2 linked regions of the Elephas maximus indicus genome follow. The main gene of each other region encodes a partner of the protein of the gene in region 2 in a complex. Links are inferred from orthologs where the notes say so. Each region holds a gene or a part of one and is shown on either strand. Other genes may lie near its edges. The genes, in order: IGSF5 and LNX1.

Region 1 (10,451 bases), on a different chromosome or scaffold from region 2:
TGAAGGAGTTGCAGAAAGAACTGCTATGTGGCTGGGACAGAGTGAGAGATGAGTCTCAGGGAATGAGGATAGAGTTAAGATTAGCCAGTTGGCAGCACTCGAGGTTTCAATCATATACACCTCTTCGCTCTTCCTTCCACCTCCTTTTGTTCTTTGGAAACCACAGTCTTAGTTATTCAGTGCTACCACAACAGAAATACCACAAGTGGAGGGCAATAACAAAAAGAAATTTATCCTCTCAGAGTCTAGGAGGCTAGAAGTCTGAATTCAGGATGCCAGCTCCAGGAGAAGGCTTTCTGTCTCTGAAGGAATGACTTTTGTCATCCATCTTCCCCTGGTGTAGGAGTTTGTCAGCCCAGGGACCCTGGGTCCAAAGGACATGCTCCACTCCCAGCTCTTCTTCTTTGTGGCAGGAGGTCCCTCCTTACTGCCCGCCCTCCCCCCCCCCCCCCCCGCCGCCCCGGTCTCTCTGCTCGATTCTGTCTTTTATATCTCAAAAGAGATTGACTCAGGAACAACCTAATCTTATAGAGTGAGTTTTGCCTCTATAACGTAACTGCCTCTAATCCTGCCTCATTAACATCATAGAGGTAGGATTTATAACACATAGAAAATCTCATCAGATGACAAAATGATTGACAATCACGTAATACTGGGAATCGTGGCCTAGCCAAGTTGACACACATTTTTGGGGGACACAATCCACAACACTATCCATGCATTTTTTTTTCTTTTACTTTTTCCTTCTCCCCTGGGACAGGCCTATCCAAGGCACTCACTGGCACTGCTTAATCCCATTGGGCATTCATAGCTAATCACCAATACACTGAATGTACCAAGGACTGTCTGTAAAACCAGAGGCTCCTTCCCCATTACCCACTGTCATTGATTCCGGCTCATAGCGACCCTGTAGGACAGAGTACAACTGCCCCATAGAGTTTCCAAGGAGCGCCTGGAGGATTCGAACTGTCGACCCTTTGGTTAGCAGCCATAGCATTTAGCTACTACACCACCAAGGTTTCCAGAGGCTCCTTAGCCTCACAAAAGAAGGCCTCTATTCCAAGCATTCTTGCATACCAAGGATGTGTGGCTCCCAGGGACCTGGAGCTGGTTTTTCAGGTGACAGCTTTGGCACACGTCACCTCCAAAATGTACAGTGCCCTTTCCTACTAAAGACCCCATGGTGGGGTTTCCAAATGCATTGACACACTCATTCAGGGTTCTGGTCTCCTTTCTTCTCCACAGGCAACAACCAACCATAAACAGACATGTTGTTGTTGGGTGCCCTCAAGTCAATTTTTTCCTCACAGCAGCCCTATAGGACAGAGTAGAACTGCCCCCCTAGGGTTTTCAAGGCTGTAATCTACGGGAGCAGATTATCAGGTCTTTTCTCCCAAGAAGCCACTAGCTGGCTTCAAATTGCCAACCTTTCTGTTAGCAGCCAAGTGCTTAAGCGTTGCATAACCTGGGCTCCTATAAGCAGACATACAAGAATTGAAATAGCCATGGACAAATAACCACCACACCTCGGCCTCCAAAATACACCTCATCTAAGTTGTTGAAGAAAACTGAGTGTCAGTGTGATGGAGAGCGGAGACGCTCAGGCCGGTGACCACATTTTCCACTCAAGCACATTACTGGATATTTACAGCTTATGAGAGAAACGTCAGGCTTCCCACTTCTTGGTTTCTCTGTTTCCTTTGGAGAGCACAATTCAACCTTTGATCAAAGTGTTCAGCTGCTAATGGAAAGGTGGACAGTTCACGCCCACCAGCCAATCCATGGGAGAAGGATGTGGCAGTCTGCCTGCATAAAGATTACAGCACTGGAAAGCCTATGAGGCAGTTTTGTTCTGTCCTATCAGGTCGCTCTGTGTTGGAATCGACTCGACAACAACTGCTTTGGTTTTGGTTTGGACTAAACTCTAATTGCTCACATGCATAATAAGATTCAGCACTTCTGTGCTACGGCACCATTGCATGGTGGCACCAAGTCTCATGGGATAATCTGAAACAGATGCAGCAAGCCCCTAAAAGTGTGCTCCAGCAGCATGTTGTACAGCAGCTGTACACAAGTGAAATGAAATCACAGCTTTTCTGAGGTGTAATTACGACCCCGAGTAAATAAATCATTTACTAAATCTCGAGGTTCAGTTAACACAACTTTACCAATAAATCACTCTGCCAGTCAGTCATCCGGAACACTTGGCTAAGGCAGAGGACCGGGGAGAAGTCAAGCCACCTAGTTATACAAGGCTGTTCTACATCTTACAGAAAGCAATAAATTGAAAACGTATCACTGAAACAGATTAAGGTTGCTTAGGAGATACTTCTAGTCACTGATAAGAGTGACTCACAATTGGAAGCACTCAAGACTAAGAGCAGATGACTAAACTTACTAAACGCCCCCTTCTGCCAACATCCTCACACGAGATTCATGTGTACTGAGTCTCTGCGTGAAAGAACGATTCTGTTTCTAAAGAGTCCAAAAGCTTTAAAAATCAGAACCACTGGGCAGTGCAAGAACAGAACACGCTGAGAGCCACGAGAACCCAGCTGTAAGATGACTAACCAGTTGCCATGGAGACGATTCCAACTCATGGCAACCCCACGCATGTCAGAGAAGAATTGTGCCCCAGAGGGTTTTCAATGGCTGAGTTTTGGGACACAGATCACCAGGCCTTTCTTCTGAGGCACCTCTGGGTGGACTTGAACCTCCAGCCTTTCAGTTAGCAACAAGTGTATTTATTAATCATTTGCCCCACCTAGGGACTCCAGGAGATTACTACCAATGTAGGGTTGGTGTTAAAAGGGTGTGCACAGGAAGGACACTGTCTCAAAGCTGACTTCAAGTTTAAATTACAATCAGACAAGTCCCTTTAATTAAACGAGGGCCTAGGCCAGGTTTGTGTCAGTTAATATCTCTGTAGAGAAGTTTTTCTGGGACCCAAGATTTAATTTCTCATTCATTTCATTATGGAAGACTTGAATTACCTAATTTTAGTTGAAAAACTGCAAAGTCATCTTAAAGTCTTAAGTGTTATTAAATTATATTGAATAGACAGGATTTAACCCCCAACCACTGAAAAGGTGGATATTAACACTCAGAAGATATGTGGGGACCCACCCAGTTAATCATATCATTTGTCAAATCTGATAATCTCAGTTAACTAACCTTTATTTCTAGGTTGTTGAAAGTAGTTTAAGAAGCCTTGGTGGTTCGGTGTTTAAAGTGCTCGGCTGCAAACCGAAAGGTTGGCATTTCAAACCCACCAGCTGCTCCATGGAAGAAAGATGTGGCAGTCTGCTTCCGTAAAGATTTACAGCCTTGGAAACCCTGTGGGGCAGTTGTGGTCTGTCTACAGGGTCACTGTGAGTCTGAATCGACTCGACAGCAGTGGGTTTGGCTTTTTTTTCGTTTTGAATAGTTTGATATTCGCCAAAGGTGCCTTCTTAGGCAGCTGCACAAGTCCAAGCCTAAAGAGAACAGAGGCCAAGTTGTGTCTCAAGGCCTGGCCTGGTGGGAAGAGCTACAACAAACACCACGCAAGGGACTCTCTCAAAAGTACTACGCCTAAATAAAAAGGCACTAACATCTCTCCTACAAACTCAAAGACTCCAACTCTGAGCCTCCCACCCCCGACATTCCAAGCATTGGGCCTACCTTGGCGTTGCCTGACAGCTTGTGAGCAGTCCTAGAACTTCCATAGATTTCCCTTCAATTCTACTTTCCATAAAGACTTCTCATCGAGGAGTTAAAAAACAGCACTGACAAGTGTGTCCAATGAGCAACACAGGTCTTAGTAATTTTCCTGCCTCTGAATACTGACCCCGAAAATTCCAGCACAGCCTTGGCTTGAAACGTCTCCCTGAAAACAGCTCACGGTGTAACTGAGGCTGGCTCTATTAGAAATCTCCCCAAATTTCTAAACTCAGAGCAGCCCACTCTTTTAATATTTAACTTTGTAGAAGCTGAGAAAGAAATACCGATGCTCTCCGTGGGAAACCCAGCAGAAGGCCTCCTCAGGGCTCAAGCGTCCCCGTCAGGAGAGCTAATTAATCAGTGGGAGGAGGCCCAGCTACACTGCAGATAAACCCACCAGACAAGTCCACCTATCAGGAGAGGAACTAGCAAGTCATTCTTACCTCGGGCACTTGATCTTCTCATCAGGACTTCAGCGGACACTCCGTTTCCGAAAGCCTTCTTGGTCTGTGTCCACTATCCACACACTCAAGAACAAATTCCTTCTGGCCCTTAAAGAGTCCTCCCAGTCCCTCTTCACCGGCTTACAGGAAGTGCCTTATGAAATTGTTCTGCCACGTCACTGGCCGGGTTATAAACAGAGGTGCCAATAGGTTCCACACTCCAGGATGGTATGAGTGCCCCAAAGGGACATATTTCCTCATTAATCATTAGCCAGTCCCAAACAGCTACCACAGGAAGTCCAAACCTGGGGCTGATAAGCCAAAGGCCTCAGTGCCAAGACTGTCCTCCACTCCACCCTCCACTTTCCGTTCCTCCCTCAAGCCTTTCGCAAGTGCCGGAGAGCCAGGCCCTTCTCCGTGGCCTGCCACGCTGGTTTTTTTCGTCCATGAGCTAGTAGGAAGCAGACAGGTCCTTTCTTGCCTGAAACAAGGGGACATGGTGGATGTCATTGGATGGCCTGACTGACCTTGAGCTTTCTCCTTACCTCCAGGACAGACTCAGGGGCTAATCAAGCTGGTTCCTTCTTTCTGGCAGGCACCTAAATATCCAGTAGAACACGTTCTTCTGTGAGGAAAAAAATCCTAAAAGTGAAGTCCTCTTGAATGTGAAGGGTAATTATCTGAGGAGCACTTACAAGAGAACTGTGGTCTTAAGTGGTTGTCTTCAGGCCTCTGACTCCGCACCCCCACCTCCTCAGAGGTGAACAAAGGAACTTGGCTTTTCAGAAAAAAAGAAGCATTGCCATGGAGTCAGTTCCAACTCGTGGCAACCCCATGTGTTACAGAGTGGAACTGCTCCATAGAGGTTTCTTTTTTTTTTGATTATTGATTGTTTTTTTTATTTTTAACGATTACTGAAATGAGCAAAATCACCGCATTAGAATACAGTGACTCTATTCCAGCCAAACTTATATTTTAGTATGGAAGAGGACCAGAACCAATGACAATCATCTTCAGATATTGAAGATTCACAGAAATGGAAGTTCTTCACATATATGACCTAAAAATCTTCACAATAGATAACAAGACATCTTACAGGAAGAAAAACCACGTGTGAATTATAATGAAGACCTCTGAGGTGAAAAATAACTGCCTATATGCATAACCAGATCTTAGCTAGCTGTGGGTCCTGAGAAGACATTATAATAAGAAAATATATACCCAGGAAGCTTTTGCTAGCTACTGTATCAATTATTGTAACAATCCTTCCTCACTACCCAAATCATTATTTCTATCCCCTTTCTTTTTTTTTTTCTATTGTGCTTCAAGTGAAAGTTTACAAATCAAGTCAGTCTCTCATACAAAAATTTGTATACACCTTGCTATGTCCACAGAGGTTTCTTGACTGCAATCTTTATAGAAGCAGATCATCAGATCTTTGTTCTGCGGGACCGCTGGGTGGATTTGAACCACCAACCTTTAGGTCAGTAGATGAGCACAAACTGTTTGCGCCACCCAGGGACTTAACTCTGGGACTATCTCAGGAAAGATCACTGCCCTAAGTCATGACTCAAAGCACCACATTGTCTGCTTTTATAACAGTTCTTGGCCCTTTTGGAATATCTGCCTTATCTCCTCATTGCATTTAATCTTCTCAGAGGCCTCAGTCAATGGCATCTGCACATAACAGGTACCAGCAGAAGGTGTAGATCATGTATTTGGACTAGACCCTGAGACAGATAAATTGCTGCTCCTTCCAGTAGTGGACATTGATCTCATTTGTAGCCTCGTTAGCCACCAGAAGCCACCTCATCAGGATCGCTTCTCTTTCCTTCACAATTCAGTGAGCCCAGAATTTATTTCACCGAATGGCTATTTTCCTTTCTCCTAGTAGAGCTCAGACCATAGCCACACTATTAAAAAAACAAGTCATATTGACACACTTCTTCCCTTTGTCAGCTAAGATAGTACTTTCTAGCCCTTCCGCCACAGAAAATAGGCATATCTGAAAATCTGTATTTTAACTGACATGTCACTAATATCAAATTACAAATAGTTTTATCTGTCAGCTCTTTAGTGGTTAAGTGAAAGCTATTTTTAACCCAAATAATTTTTATTTGGGGCTTGAGTTTCTTTCCTCCACTTTGCATTTCCCTGTCTGTTGTTGTTAGGTGCTGTCAAGTTGTTCCAACTCACAGCAGTGCTATGCACAACAGATGAAACACTGCCTGGGCCTGCGTCATCCTCACAATTGTTGCAGTGTTTGAGCCCATTGTTGCAGCTACTATGTCACCCCATCTCGTCGAGGGTCTTCCTCTTTTCCACTGACCCTCTACTTTACCAAGCATGATGTCCTTTTTCAGGGACTGGCCCCTCCTGATAGCATGTTCAAAGTATGTGAGCCATAGCCTCGTCATTCCTGCTTCTAAGGAGCTTTCTGGTTGTACTTCTTCCAAGACAGATTTGTTCGTTCTCTTGGCAGTCCGTGTTATATTCAATATTCTTCTCCAACACCACAATTCAAAAGCGTCACTTTTTCTTCTGTTTTTTTTTTTTATTCATCTTCCAGCTTTCACATGCATAGGAGGTGATTGAAAACACCATGGCTCAAGCAGGTGTACCTTAGTCTTCAAGGTAACATCTTTGCTTTTTAACACTTTAAAGAGGTCTTTTGCAGCAGATTTGCCCACTGCAAGGCATCTTTTGATTTCTTGACTGCTGCTTCCATGGCTGTTGATTGTGGATCCAAGTAAAATGAAATCCTTGACAGCTTCAATTTTTTCCCCATTTATCATGATGTTGCTTATTGGTCCAGTTGTGAAGATTTTTGTTTTCTTTATGTTGAGGTGTAATCCATACTGAAGGCTGTGGTCTTTGATCTTTATCCGTAAGTGTTTCAAGTCCTCTTTACTTTCAGCAAGAAAGGTTGTGTTATCTGCGTAATACAGGTTTTTAATCAGTCTTCCTCCCATCCTGATGCCCCATGCTTCTTCATATAGTCCAGCTTCTCATATTATCTGCTCGGCATACAGATTGAATAGGTATGGTGGAAGGATACAACCCTGACGCACACCTGTCCTGACTTTAAATCACAATGTATCCCTCTGGTCTGTTTCAACAACTGCCTCTTGATCTATGTACAGGTTCCTCACAAGCACAGCTAAGTGTTCCAGAATTCCCATTCTTCACAATGTTATCCATAATTTGTTATGATCCACACAGTTGAATGCCCCTTCATAGCTCATAAAACACAGGTAAACCTCTTTCTGGTATTCTCTGCTTTCACCCAGGATCCATCTGACATCAGCAATGGTATTCCTGGTTCCGCGACCTCTTCTGAAACCGGCCTGAATTTCTGGCAGTTCCCTGTCGATATACTGCCACAGCTGCTTTTGAATGATCTTCAACAAAATTTTACTTGCTTGTGATATTAATGGTATTGTTCAATAATTTCCACATTCAGTGGGATCACTTTTCTTGGGAATAGGCATAAATATAGATCTCTTCTAGTAGGTTGGCTAGGTAGCTATCTTCCAAATTTCTTGGCATAGGCGAGGTGAGAACTTTCAGCACTGCATCCGTTTGTTGAAACATTGCAATTGATATTCCACCAGTTCCTGGAACTTTGTTTTCGCCAATACCTTCGGTGCAGCTTGGACTTCTTCCTTCAGTACCATTGGTTCCTGCTCGTATGGTGCCTCCTGAAATGGTTGGACATCAATTCTCTTTGGTAGAGTGACTCTGCGTATTCCTTCCATACGCAGCCCTAGAGGAAGGGTTTCTCTTTCTGTCAGCTCTGGAGGAAGGCCCTTGTCTCTTTGAGCTTCTGCTCCTGGGAGATCTTCATGTAGCTTGGCATCTCTCTTCCCCCATCTGTGCTTCTAGCTTGCATTTAATCTTTTTTACATCTCAAAAGAGATAGACTCAAGATACACTCTCATTAAATAACCTAGACAACCCATTCCCAAATGGTATTATAACCACAGGCATAGAGGTTAGGTTTTACAAAACATATTTTGGGGGGACATAATTCAATCCATAACAGAGGGGATGATCTGTGTTGACAAAGGTGTCCCAGACAAGCAGGCTACCAGCCCTGGACCTTGGGTTTCCAGTTCAGCCATCTGCCAAGTGACAAAAGACCTTGAAAGAACAAGCTGGTTTCCTCAGTAGGAAAAGAGTGGTGTTTGCTGCCGAATGAGAGGATTTTAAAATGTGCCAAACATTTTAAACACATTCATTAAATTTGTGGCCCTCTGTAGGTACCCTGGCCCTAAGCCAGGAGCCCCCCACTTAGTCGGTGGTCCATGTATCATACGGTTGAACAAAAAGCAAAAAATGGCCCTGAAGAGTGAACTTGGATTTCCAAAAACAAATGAAATGTGTTTTGAAAATGAATTCCAAAGCATAGAGAAGTAAAAATTGCAAAATGCCTTTGGAGCATTAGAATCTAATTTATTCTATTAGATCAATTAGAATTTTACTGAAGAATTCTCATTTTCAGCACATCAAAACAGCCTGACAGAAGGTGGGTGCGCATGGCTGAAGAGTAATCACACCACCCTTTTGTGGAAATGTTTGCGTGCACCCTGGCTGGGAGTTGCCGTGGAAACGAAACTCCCAGGTGTTTGTGTTGGCTTTCGTCACAGACTCTTTCTTGCTTCTGGAGATGCGAATTAAATTTACTTTGTCTACAGATGTGAACATCAACCAAGCAAATGTTTGCTGCACTTGCTGCTTTCTCCAACTGCTCCACCAGTCATTGAAAATGTTGCCTTCCAGAGGATTGTCGCTGATCTCTTTTCTCCCATGTCCCACTTGAGTTTATTCACCCAGTTTAAGTGCTATGACTGCTAACCAAAGGGTTGGCATTTCAAATCTGCCAGGCGCTCCTTGGAAACTCTATGGGGGCAGTTCTACTCTGTCCTATAGGATCACTATGAGTCGGAGTCGACTCGACGGCACTGTTTTTTTTTTTTTTTTTATATATGTCCTTCAAAAGCAAAGTTGAACGCCTGGGTTGTTTGGGGGTTTTTGAGAATCCCAAGGCTCCAGAGGATTGTTTTTAGACTTGTATTGCAAGTCTCAAACTGGCTTAGCATTACTTTCTCTTGCCCTCTTTGCTTGTTTGTTTTGAGTATTCTCCTGGGCAAGACCTACTTGCTGGTCATACTTAGCTGTCTGTGATCCACATTTATTGTAGTCTTGTCATTCCATAGACCAATTGGCAATCTCTAACTGCAAATGAAACTTTTCCTACATTCTCTCCCTCTTCTGGATTCAAGGACTACAATGTGTTCACCTTTACAGTCCCCACAAGGCTGGATACAGAGCCATGCACAAAGGGTGCCTGTAAACACCTGCACCATGCCCCCACATCTATTTCACCTATTCTTTGCGTATTAGTTTCCTAGCGCTGCCATAACAAAGGACCAAACTGAGTGGCTTATAAGAACAGAAATGTATTGTCTCATAGTTCTGAAGGCTGAGAGTATGAAAGCAGGGTGTTGGCTGCATTGATTCCTCCTGAGGGCCCTCAGGGATGACCTGTTCCATGCCTCTCTCCTAGCTTCTGGTGACAACTGGCGATCCTTGGCGTTCCTTGGCTTGTAGAGGCATCAGTCCAATCTCTGCTTCCATCTCCACATGACCATTTCCCCCCAGTATCTGTGCCTCTCCTCGTTTATAAGGAAGGTCAGGACTCAGATTCAGACCCACTCTACTCTAGTATAACCTCATTTAAACCTAACTGATAATATCTTTGAAGACCCTATTTCCAAACAAGGTCATGTTCAAAGGTACTGGGGATTAGGACTTCAACACATTTTTTTTGGAGACACAGTTCAAGCCATATCACTATGGCAAAAGAATCCCTAATTTTTTTTTTAATCCCTAATTTTTAACTGGGCAAAAATACAAACTGCATTTCCTTGCCTCCCTTGCAGCTAAGCATGGTCATGTGGCTAAATTTAGATCAGAGGGATGTGAGTGGGTCCCATCCCTTTATTAAGAGAAGTATGTTTTCTCTTTCCCTTTCTGCTCCTTCCTGCTGGCTAGAATGTAGAAGTGGTAATGAGCCACTGTGGACAACACCCTGAGAGGGCAGAGCAAGAAGATTAAAAAAGAATGAGCCCTCAAAGGCTTTCAAGAGCAAGGCTGCCACATAGCTGGGGGTTTTGTAGAGAAACAGAAACTTGTCTTGTTTAAGCCACTGTTACTTTTGTCTCTGTCACAGCAGCCACACCTACCTACTAACTGTGATGGTTAATCTTATGTGTCAATTTGTCTAGGCTGTACCCTAGGAAA
Region 2 (10,445 bases):
AAGTCTGGTCTTTTTATGAGAATTTGGGGTCTGCATCCCACTGTTCTCCTGCTCCCTCAGGGGTTCTCTGTTGTGCTCCCTGTCAGGGCAGTCATCGGTTGTGGCCGGGCACCATCTAGTTCTTCTGGTCTCAGGATGATGTAAGTCTCCGGTTGAACCACACTTTTTAAGGCCTGGTGTTTGTGACATCTACCCAATCCATATGGAGGAATATGCTCTACTCCCCAACAAATCAAAGACAGTGACAACATGCGCACACACATGCATGTCATGGTCACAGAGCAACGTTTGAGTTTCTCATCGATGTCACAATTGAGTGAATGTCCTCTTCTCCTCCCTCCCCTCATTCCCTTTCCTTTTCTTCCTAAGTACTTCAGACCGTAAGGCCATTTTGTGTGGCTGAGCATCCATGTGGGTGGTAGAGAAGATACAGTGGCTCAGGGCAGGTTGTCAGAGCTGAAGCAGGAGAGAAGGGCTTTCACGCAGGCGGGCTGCTGGCTCCCTGGCGTGGAATGTTAGAGATCTGGTAAGGTGAGTATGGTGTCCAAGCAGATAATGGGAAATGACCTTCATGGGGAGTCATAGTCTGAGTGGGGTGAGGAGGTTAGCCAACAGAAAGGCTGTCCAGCACAAGTGTTGGAGTCTGGATGGCAAAGGAAGGCATCCCTGTGAAAGGGCAGCCTGGCCTGGGCATTGGAACTCAAACAGGATGAGGGGGTGTCGGCATGGGGAAGACAGCTGTGGTAGTGACCACAGGTGGTTACAGTCAGGGGGTTGATCAAATAAGGAAATATATTGAGGATAATGGGAGCCAGGTATCTCACTGTCAGAGAAAAAGGGAGTTACAAATATGGAAAGGGACAAAACAAGAATGAACTCTGTGGTGTTGGATTGGAATTGGAAGCACCTGTGTGAATTTATGCTCTTCAATATGTAAAGATTAGTATAGAAATACACACACACACAAGTCTTAGCTCTGTGCACTGAGAGGGCTGAGAACAGCAATAATTCAGTTAGCAAAGAACACGTACTCAGAGGCCACTCTGGGTGGAGAAGGATTGGAGTGTCTGCCGTAGAAGCAGAATTGGGGTATAGCTCCTGCCTGTTGGTGCTCTGCCAAGGTGTGGGAGAGGGTTGGGCTCACCCCGCTCATTTAGTAAAGACTGGAAAGGTTCCTGAATAGCTAGATAGAGATAACACATGATATCTGATCATGCAATCCATTCGACTTATCTGACGATGGGCTCATCTGCCAGCACCATGAAGTGGAAACACCAAGGTCTCCTTTGTCATCTCAGAAAAGTCTGAGGGAATAACTAAGGACCAGCTCTTCAGTGTTTACCTGGAACATGGATTGTGCCAGTCCCCGTGTTCATTTGAGGCTTGGTCTAAAGTGGTGATAACAACTACTGCTTATTGGGCATCTTCTGTGGGCCAGAAACAGAGAGAGGTCTTTTAGTGTTCTCTTTCTAATTATCACGATGATTCTCCAACTTATGTTTTATAGAAACATCTCCATTTTATAGAAGAGAAAATGGAAGCTCAGAGAGATTTAGTAACTTGGTTAGGCTACGCTTCTAGGAGGGGATGACTCTGGGATTAGAAACCAAATCTGAATAGCTCTTTTCGCTGTTCTGTGCCGTCTCCCTTCACACAAGGCCTCTTGATCTGAAGCCTCTTCCACCTTGCCTCTCGCACCCAGCAGGCTTCCCAAACCCCCACCCCAACTCCCACAGATTAGTGGTTGCCTCCTGTGTGATCCCAGAGCACCTATCAACTGTACATAGTTGCATACAACTAATTTACAAAGCTTTGATTGAAGGCTGGGCCCCTCTTCTCTGTATTCACGGCATCTTGCCTGGACCCAGGATTAGAAGCAAATAAATTAATAAACCTCATTGCCGCTGAGTCAATTCTGACTCATATTGACCCTACAGGACAGAGTAGAACAGCCACATAGGGTTTCCAAGGAGCGGCTGGTGGATTCGAACTGCTGACCTTTTGATTAGTGGCTAACTCTTAGCCACTGCACCACTAGGGTAATAGTTTGCATTTATTGAGCACTTGCGAGCCTCTATAGGGTCACTATGAGTTGCAATCGACTCCACGGCAGTGGGGTTGGTTTTGGGTTTTTTTAAGGAGCCTCTGGCTGGTGCAAATAGTTAAGCACTTGACTACTAACCAAAAGGTTGGCAGTTTGGACCCACCCAGAGATGTCCCAGAAGAAAAGTCTAGCAATCTGCTCCTGAAAGGTCACAGCCTTGACAACCCTATGGAGCACAGTTCTACTCTGAAGCACATGGGGTCTTCATGAGTCGAAATTAACTCAATGGCAACTGGTTTTTAAAAATTTTTTTAGTATGTGCCAGCAAAGGCTTCACGTGCATTGTCTCATTTAAACCCTGAGACAACTTTAAGACAACTACCACTACCACCAGCTGCCATGTGCAGCTCCCCGCTTCGATGGCTCTGCACTCCTTGAGTGTATAGCTGGGACCACGGCCTGGCCCAGTGCTAGGCACAGGAAGCAGAGTTTATCAACATTCATCCAACTGGATTCAATTCCCGGGAATGGAAGTAAACAGGATACTGTGAAGATGTATTTCTGCATTTTTCAAGACAGTTCCAATTTTTAAAATTCCATCCTCTCATTGGACCATTTATCAGAATATGTGCCAATGAATGTAGCCTGATACTTGGCTAGGAACATACAGTCACCATTTTAGTGAAAAGAGGCAGGAGTTGACACATGTCGGTGGCTGAGTCACAATTTCTCTGGACCTAAATTTCTCCATGGGTAAAATGGGACTGATAATACCTGTTCCTATCATAGAAATGAAACAAAATGTGTATGTGCCTGCGTTTTGAATATTGATGAGAATAAAGTTGTATACAATCCAATTGCCATTCACAGGGTTGCTTACAGTTTTACTAACCTGTTTGGCAAATGGTTTCCATTCTTGAAAGTAAAGGAAGAAAGACGTTTCCGCGAAGACCAGTGCGGGGGGAAAAAATGAGCATGCGAAGAGCAAGTGTCCTGAGGCCTTTCTGGTATTTTGAAAAAAGATACAACTAGGTATTTCTGTCTACTGAACTCTCCTTAGGAGTTTCTCAATGATACAAATGGTTAATTACTTGACTACTAACCAAAAGTTTGGTAGTTCGAACCCACCCAGAGGCATTTTGGAAGATAGGCCTGGCGATCCGCTTCTGAAAGGTCACGGCCTTAAAAACCCTACTCTGCACACATGAGGTTGCCGTGAGTTGGAATGGACACAACGGCAACTAACAGCAAGGCTCTCCTCAGAGAATTTGTGTGTGTGTGTGTGCCCATCTGATAGAGGTGGGTGTGGGAGGCTGGCATAGTCAGGAGTCAAATTTTCTCAAATTGTATGAGATTCTACCTGGTGGAGAAACCAGGCAATCTTACCTTTGCTGCCTGTGGATCAGTTCCCAGGTGTAAGGGGCCTCAGGTGACAGTTCTTTTGGAAGCTGAGGTTTTCTGACTCCAGAGTAGTTCGGGAAAGCTTCTTTCTCTTTCCTGCACCTCGTCTTCCAGACATATGTGCAGACCACTCTGCCTTCGTATACTCAGAGGTTAATCAGCACATCCCCTGTCTTTTCTGCAAGGTTTGGGCAGAGCAGATCCATGATCCCGAGAGAGGGCAGCCTGTCAGGGCGCCACTTCGGTTGGAGAGCAGCCCCTCAGAGCAGCCGCTCGTTCGCATCAGTGACAAATCCATTTGGATGGGGCTAAGCCTCCCTCCCTCAAACTTCCTTCTGCTCTTGCCAAAATGCAGGACACTTTTGTTCACCTTTAGGGCTGCCAAGTCAGGCCTACCGCACCCCTGGATGTTGTTTTCCTGCAGGCAATGGGAACATGAGCTTGGAACCAGGGAAAGGAAATCAACAAGGAAACAAACACTGGCCACTGCACCTTCCGGCCATCGTTAGGTCTGGGACATCATCATGCTCAGAACCAGTCCCCAAATAAGCCAGGGCTTCCAACTGGACCTGTCTCAGAATCCTGCTTGTCTTTTTGTTTTTAAATGTGCAAAGAAAAGTGCATGAAATTCTATATCAGGCAAATGAAACAATCCTGAATTTTTCCAGTACCTTGCCAAAACTTCCAAAGATTTTCCATAAGCAGTACCACGCATCACTGGATGCTAGCTAATGTTCGTAGACAAAGAAAAGTGACGAGCAAGTTTAAGGGTGACACTATGAAAGATTTTTAATTCTAAAGATATAGGATTATTGTTTAAATAAGAATGTCTTCTGTTTACTTTTGACCATCATCACCTTTAGCAGCCACATCTTTGCTGACATTTATTGTGTTTACCGAATGCCTGGTCCTATGCTAATTTCCTGATGTGCATTATTTCATTTAATTCTCATCATAATCCTATAATCACCATTCCCACTTTATAAAGAAATTGAGTATTAGAGAGATTAAACTACTGCAAAGTGACTCAGCTACTTAAAATTTGTTAAATCACATTTCTGGACATGGGCTTTTGAAGTCTTGCTTTTCACACACACACAAACACAGCCAACTGAACCTGTTGCCATCAAGCCGATCTTGGCGCACGGCAACCCCATGTATTACAGAGTAGAACTGCTCCATAAGTGTTTTTTTGGCTGTAATCTTAACGGAATCAGGTTACCAGACCTTTCTTTTGTGGTACTGCTGGGTGGGTTAAAACCACCAACCTTTAAATTAGTAGTTGAGAGCAAACTTAGCCACCCATGACCTGCTTTTCCCACCAGGTAGGCTTATACACCTGTGTGGGAACAGCTTCAGGGATAGCCAAAGACATTGCTTCAATAAGCTACTAGCTGCGGGAAAAGAATTCTAAACAGCATCACTGGTCATCAGTTACATGGTCTCCCTCTGGTGATGTGCGTTGGTGTATTTCACATGTAGTGTGTATGCAGGAAAAGTATAATCCAGGTACCCAATGTCCTCTCTAGTCAAAGGTGGTGCTGCTAGCTGCTGTCTGTCTCAGGCCCTCCGCTGTGATTTTGACTTACAAACCAGGAAGTGCCCTGTAAATCTCTTGGCTCTGGGTGTGTTTTGGTCATGGCCGGGTCACTAGTTTGTCCTTTTGACAGTAGGCGCCTAGCAGTTACAAGCTTCTTTTAATCAACAATCCATGGAATGAGATTGAGTTCCTGGCCTGGAAACTTCTGCCTGGTGAGAAGAAACCAGCCCATGTGTTTTTAGTCTTCAGTCCTTAGGTCACACTGCAACCTTTTTGGGTTTTATTGTCTTCATCTTTACTTCGAATTGTTAGCAGTTAGCTCTCCTGTGCCATGGTGGTTACCCCGGGGCAGCTGGCAACTGGTCAAAGGAAAGTAAAACCGTTAATTAGGAGACAGAGAGATGGCTCCCAGCGGGGTCCAAGTTGCCTGTTTTCATAAACATAGGAGTTGCAACATCAGGGCAATTGCTCCCCTTATTTACCCTTGGATCTGGTTTGGTGGATCTTTGGGGTATTTTGCCCTAGGGCCACATAAACCTCTCAACTTGAGGTTGGTCAGCTTTTCATTCTTTTTAACAGAGACTATAGACTTATTTACTGGAGTTATAGTAATAAAGAGGAAGATGGGCTAGGGGCTGGGCATTTAGTTTGGATATCAATTCATTTTTCTTTTCCTGTGGTTTACATTTAAGCGTAGCATCTAGATATGTTTATAGACTTTGGTCTTGGAGTTCTTTGATGAGGAAGGCAATTTATAACAGTCAAATGGGCCTTTTCAACCTTATCACATGAAATGAAAAACCAAAATTTTGGAAAGGGGCTGACGTAATGGAAGCTTTCATGTTCAGCATCTGCTCCACAGCCTTCGATCAGGGAACAAAGATAGATGTGGGTACTGCGGGCAGCTCTGGGGTTTTCAATGCAGAAGGGTAAGGTAGGTAGATTTCACTTCTCTCTCTGCTCCTCCGAGCATGTGGATCAGTACCGACTGATTGGCGTCCAAGACTTGAGTCCATTCTAGGATTAACAGCAAACATATAAACGTCCCCCAAAATTTTTGTGCACGATCATGGAACCAGTGCAGCTGACTGTTCAAAACTGGAAACAGAGAGAAGTCACAGATGAAAACAGGATGTATTAATTTCACTTTACAAATGTGCCCTCTCCAAAGCCAGATCACTTACACCATGGTGACCTGGATCTGCTCAAACTCCACTGCTTTTGAGCATCATTTCCATTTGGTGTGGGATATTCTAGGTGAGTGACAGATCTCAACTCAGCAGAAAGGTCCAGATGTACTTAAACATTTTAATAATTATGGGAAAGCAAATTGTCTTCCCCTTGGAAGGAAAGATGGCCCGTTTTTAAAGTATCCTGGAAAGATAGCATGCCCAGTTATTTGCAGAGAAAATTGCCTTATTTTGGGTCTATTTTGAAGGAGGAATATTAAATCTGAGAAATGCTGAATTTTTTAGAATAGCCATTTCTATCTTTAAATGGTGATAAAGAAACTAGAACCTGAGTTAGCTTTCTCTCAGGTCCCTTTTCACTCTTGTGAGATTGATCAGGGTTAAAATGGATTTATCATAATAAGAGATAGAAAATAGTTTTTTTGAGCAGTAATGGACTGATTGCTTTCCTTTCTCTCCTCATAAGAATATAACTTATAGTTTATACAAACGGGTAGGGCAACAAGGGGAGGAGTCCAAAGCCCCACTCCAAGGTTTTAAATAACATCTTTACGCCAACAATCCCCATATTCCTATCTGTGGGTCAGATCTTCCAACCGCTTGCTCCACGACTCACAGCCATTTCATACGTCACACTTTCAAAGCCAGCTCTTCATCTTCTTCTCCTGCTCCTCCTCCTGTTCCTCCATCTCAGTAAATGGCTTTTTTATCCACCCAAGTGCTCCATCTGGAGTTGCCATTATGCGCCTTCTTTCTTAAACCCCACATCCAATCCATAAGTTGTTAGTTGCTGTTGAGTTGGCTCTGACTCGCGGTGACCCCCATATACAACAGAATAAAACGTTGCCCAGTCCTCGGCCATCTTCACCATCATTGGTATGCTTGAGTCTATTGTTGAGGCCACTGCGGTTTTGAATGCGTTTCATCCTAGGGGGCTCATCCTCCAGCACTATATCACACAGTGTTAAGGTGTGATTCATAGGGTTTTCATTGGCTAATTTTTGGATGCAATGCATCTTTTGCATTCAAAAGACATATTGCATTGGGCAAATCTGCTGCAAAAGACCTCATTAAAGCCTTAAAAAGCAAAGATATCTCCTTGAAGACTAAGGTTCACTTGACCCAAGCCGTGGTGTTTTCAGTTGCCTCATATACATGTGAAAGCTGGACGATGAATAAGGAAGACCAAAGAAGAATTGACGCCTTTGAATTACGGTGTCGGCAAAGGATACTGATTATACCATGAGCTGCCAAAAGAATGAATAAATCTGTCTTGGAAGAAGTACAGCCAGAATGCTCCTTAGAAGCAAGGATGGTGAGATTACATCTCACATACTTTGGACATGTTATCAGAGGGATCAGTCCCTGGAGAAGGACATCATGCTTGGTAAAGTAGAGGGTCATTGAAAAACAGGAAGGTCCTCAACGAGATGGATTGACACAGTGGCTGCAACAATGGGCTCAAGCATAGCAACAATTGTGAGGATGGCGCAGGACCAGGCAGTGTTTTGTTCTGTTGAACATGGGATCACTATGAGTCGGAAGTGACTTGATGGCAACTAACAACAACAACAATTTTTGGAAGTAGATCACCAGGCCTTTCTCCCTAGCCTGTCTTGGTCTGGAAACTCCACTGAAAGCTACACTCCATGGGTATTTGACATACTCATGGCGGTGTAGCTTCCAGCATCACAGCAACACTTAAGCCACCGCAGTACGACAAACTGACAGACAGGTGGTGGGATCCATAAGTACATCCTGTCAATTCCACCTCAAAAATTTACATCAGCTTCAACCACTGCCCTCTGTTTCCATTATCACAGGGGTCCAACTGACCGTCCATCATCTCTCACCTGGGTTACTGTAGGCAATCCTAACTATCCTGCCTGCTTCCCTTCTTGCCCCCAGTCCCTCTACCAAATCTATGTTCCACACCACAGCCAGGTTAGATTTTTTTAAAGGTAACCCCGATTGTGTCATTAAAAAAAAAAAAACCAAACCCAGTGCAGTCAAGTCGATTCCGACTCATAGTGACCCTATAGGACAGAGTAGAACTGCCCCATAGAGTTTCCAAGGAGTACCTGGTGGATTTGAACTGCCAACCCTTTGATTAGCAGCCATAGCTCTTAACCACTACGCCACCAGGGTTTCTGACTGTGTCATTAGCCTATATAAAAGCCTCACGTCTTTCTATCGCACTCAGGATAAAATACAACATAGCCCCACTAAGTGTGGAATATTTGGTTCCTGTTTACCTCTCCAACATTATCTCAGCTATGCTCCCCCTCCTTCAGTACACTTCAGCCACACTAGCTTGCTCTCAGTTCAAGAACCCTCCAAGCTTTTCTCCATCTCACAGCCTTTGCTCTTCCTGGACTGACTTACACACACACACACACACACACACACACTGTCTCTGCTTCTTTTTCATTTTTCAGATCTCAGCTCAAATGTCATTTCCTAGAGACACTCCCCACTCACCAACTTTTCCTTTGCAGCACTTAATAAAACTAACCAATTGTCGTTGAGGTGATTCCAACTCAGGGCAGTCCACGTGTGTCAGTACAGAGCTGCATTCTACAGAGTTTTCAAATGGCTGCTTTTTCAGAAGTAAATCACCAGGACTTTTTTTCCAAGGCATCTCTGGATGGATTCGAACCAACAACCTGTTGATCAGTAGTCCTTTGGGCCACCCAGGGACTCTGTAGCTCTTGTTACAATTTGTAAATATAATTTTTATTTGCCTATTCATTTAATATACGGTTTACCCACCCATACCCACTACCCCCAACCCCAGCTAGGTTTCCTTCCATAAGGGCAGGAGCTATGTTTATTTTGTTCACAACTATATGTCTAGAACCTGGTACATAAAAATAGGTTCCACATTTTTAAATACAACACTTAATGAAGGAATGAGTAATTGAACGGGAAAATCTTTTTTCAATGAAGATCACTTAGTTTCTTAAATAGCTGTTGAGAGGTACTAACTTGTTCTTATTCTGATACAGAGATATAATTTCCCCTGTGCAGATGTTGAGAATTAGCAAATAATTGTGTTCTTGGAGAATCTACCCTGAGTCGTCCCTTCCAAGGAAGCACTGTCTATGGCTTTCTATTGCCTCTGGGAGTGCTGTTCCACAGCCCAGGGAAGGGGTGGGGGAGAGCTGGGGGTGGGAGTGGTGTGGATGAAGGACTTATGTGTTTCTGGCTTCGCAAGTTAGATTTTGTAATTCATTCCTCATGAAAACAACAGGGCAGAGTGGAAATTGTACTGTCATAAAGACTTTTGGAGGCCAGCTTTGGGAAACTAAACACCATTTTAGATTTAGAACATCAGTTTATGGGGAAAAATGTGTTCCAGATTCAAACAACCAGCACACACACACACACACACATGCACACATCCTCTTGAAACAAAGGAGTTTGCCTGTTTTGTGTTTTATACGAATTTGCAAAATTATGGTGACTCATCACCAGCTACACCCTCCCTGAACCCTCATCTTAATCTGGGTCTTGGTTAACTAGAGTTGAACAATATTGGGAATGCCTATGAGATGATTTATTCACACAGGGATTGTGTTTATTTGAGTTGAGGCAGAGCCAGGAAATACTTATTTTCCTGTCCATATTAAGGAAGGGACTTCCGATTCGTTTCTCAAGTTTCCCAAGAAGGTGCAGTATCAAACCATGCTTCTGGCTTCCTCCAAGATCCTGACTTGCTCCTCCCAACAGTAGGAGAAATGACCAATCTGATTGGTGAGACCAGGAGACCCTGACCAATCTGATTGATGAGACATGGAGAGCACATCCTTCCCTGGCCTCCTGTAGGTGTGGGACTAGACTGCTGCATTGCGAAGTGAAGGCCTCCTTCAGTCTTTCTCTCGACTTGGAGGGTGGGTACGGAGTACTTATGCAGCCTCTGGTTTCTGTTTTAGGCGAGCCATGTGGCGTCTCCAGGCCAGCTGAGATAGAGCTCTGTTCTCTTGCTTCTGTGTTCTTCCCCATCACTACTTGGTTGGAGGAGTTGGCCCCCTTGTTGGTCCCATGGTTCAGGGGAAAGGAGAGATGAAGCTTTCTTCGTTCTTAATCCAGTACTCAGGAAGCTGATACTATATATTAGTAAGACCTGCTTTGGCTCTTTATTTCTGTCTTCAACCAGAAGGGGACCCCCCTAACCCCCAGCTTCCAGTAATTTGGGTTATATTTTAATTTGCTTCATTCGTAAAACAGTTAAATCATTTTTTCTACACCAATGTATAAAATACTTGTA

What was found.
Region 1: the proteins of LNX1 (region 2) and IGSF5 are in contact, whole or in part, in a crystal structure (PDB 3VQG), measured with the Mus musculus proteins. The link is inferred for Elephas maximus indicus from reciprocal best matches to the Homo sapiens genes LNX1 and IGSF5. Residues at the interface, in NP_001153049.1 of Mus musculus: Gln396, Leu397, Gly398, Ile399, Lys400, Leu401, Val402, Phe413, Leu416, Pro446, Ala449, Ala450, Ile453; in NP_001171358.1 of Mus musculus: Val367, Thr368, Leu369, Val370.

What each region holds. Positions count from the first base shown.
Region 1 is NC_064820.1:222,594,024-222,604,474, reverse strand, and holds the start of IGSF5 (immunoglobulin superfamily member 5), read right to left. Parts: upstream 4,629-10,451; 5' UTR 4,146-4,628; intron 3,869-4,145; exon of another isoform or gene 3,664-3,868; intron 1-3,663. UniProt on the Homo sapiens protein: Provides, together with MAGI1, an adhesion machinery at tight junctions, which may regulate the permeability of kidney glomerulus and small intestinal epithelial cells. Mediates calcium-independent homophilic cell adhesion.
Region 2 is NC_064823.1:107,992,303-108,002,747, reverse strand, and holds the start of LNX1 (E3 ubiquitin-protein ligase LNX), read right to left. Parts: upstream 3,756-10,445; 5' UTR 3,431-3,755; intron 1-3,430.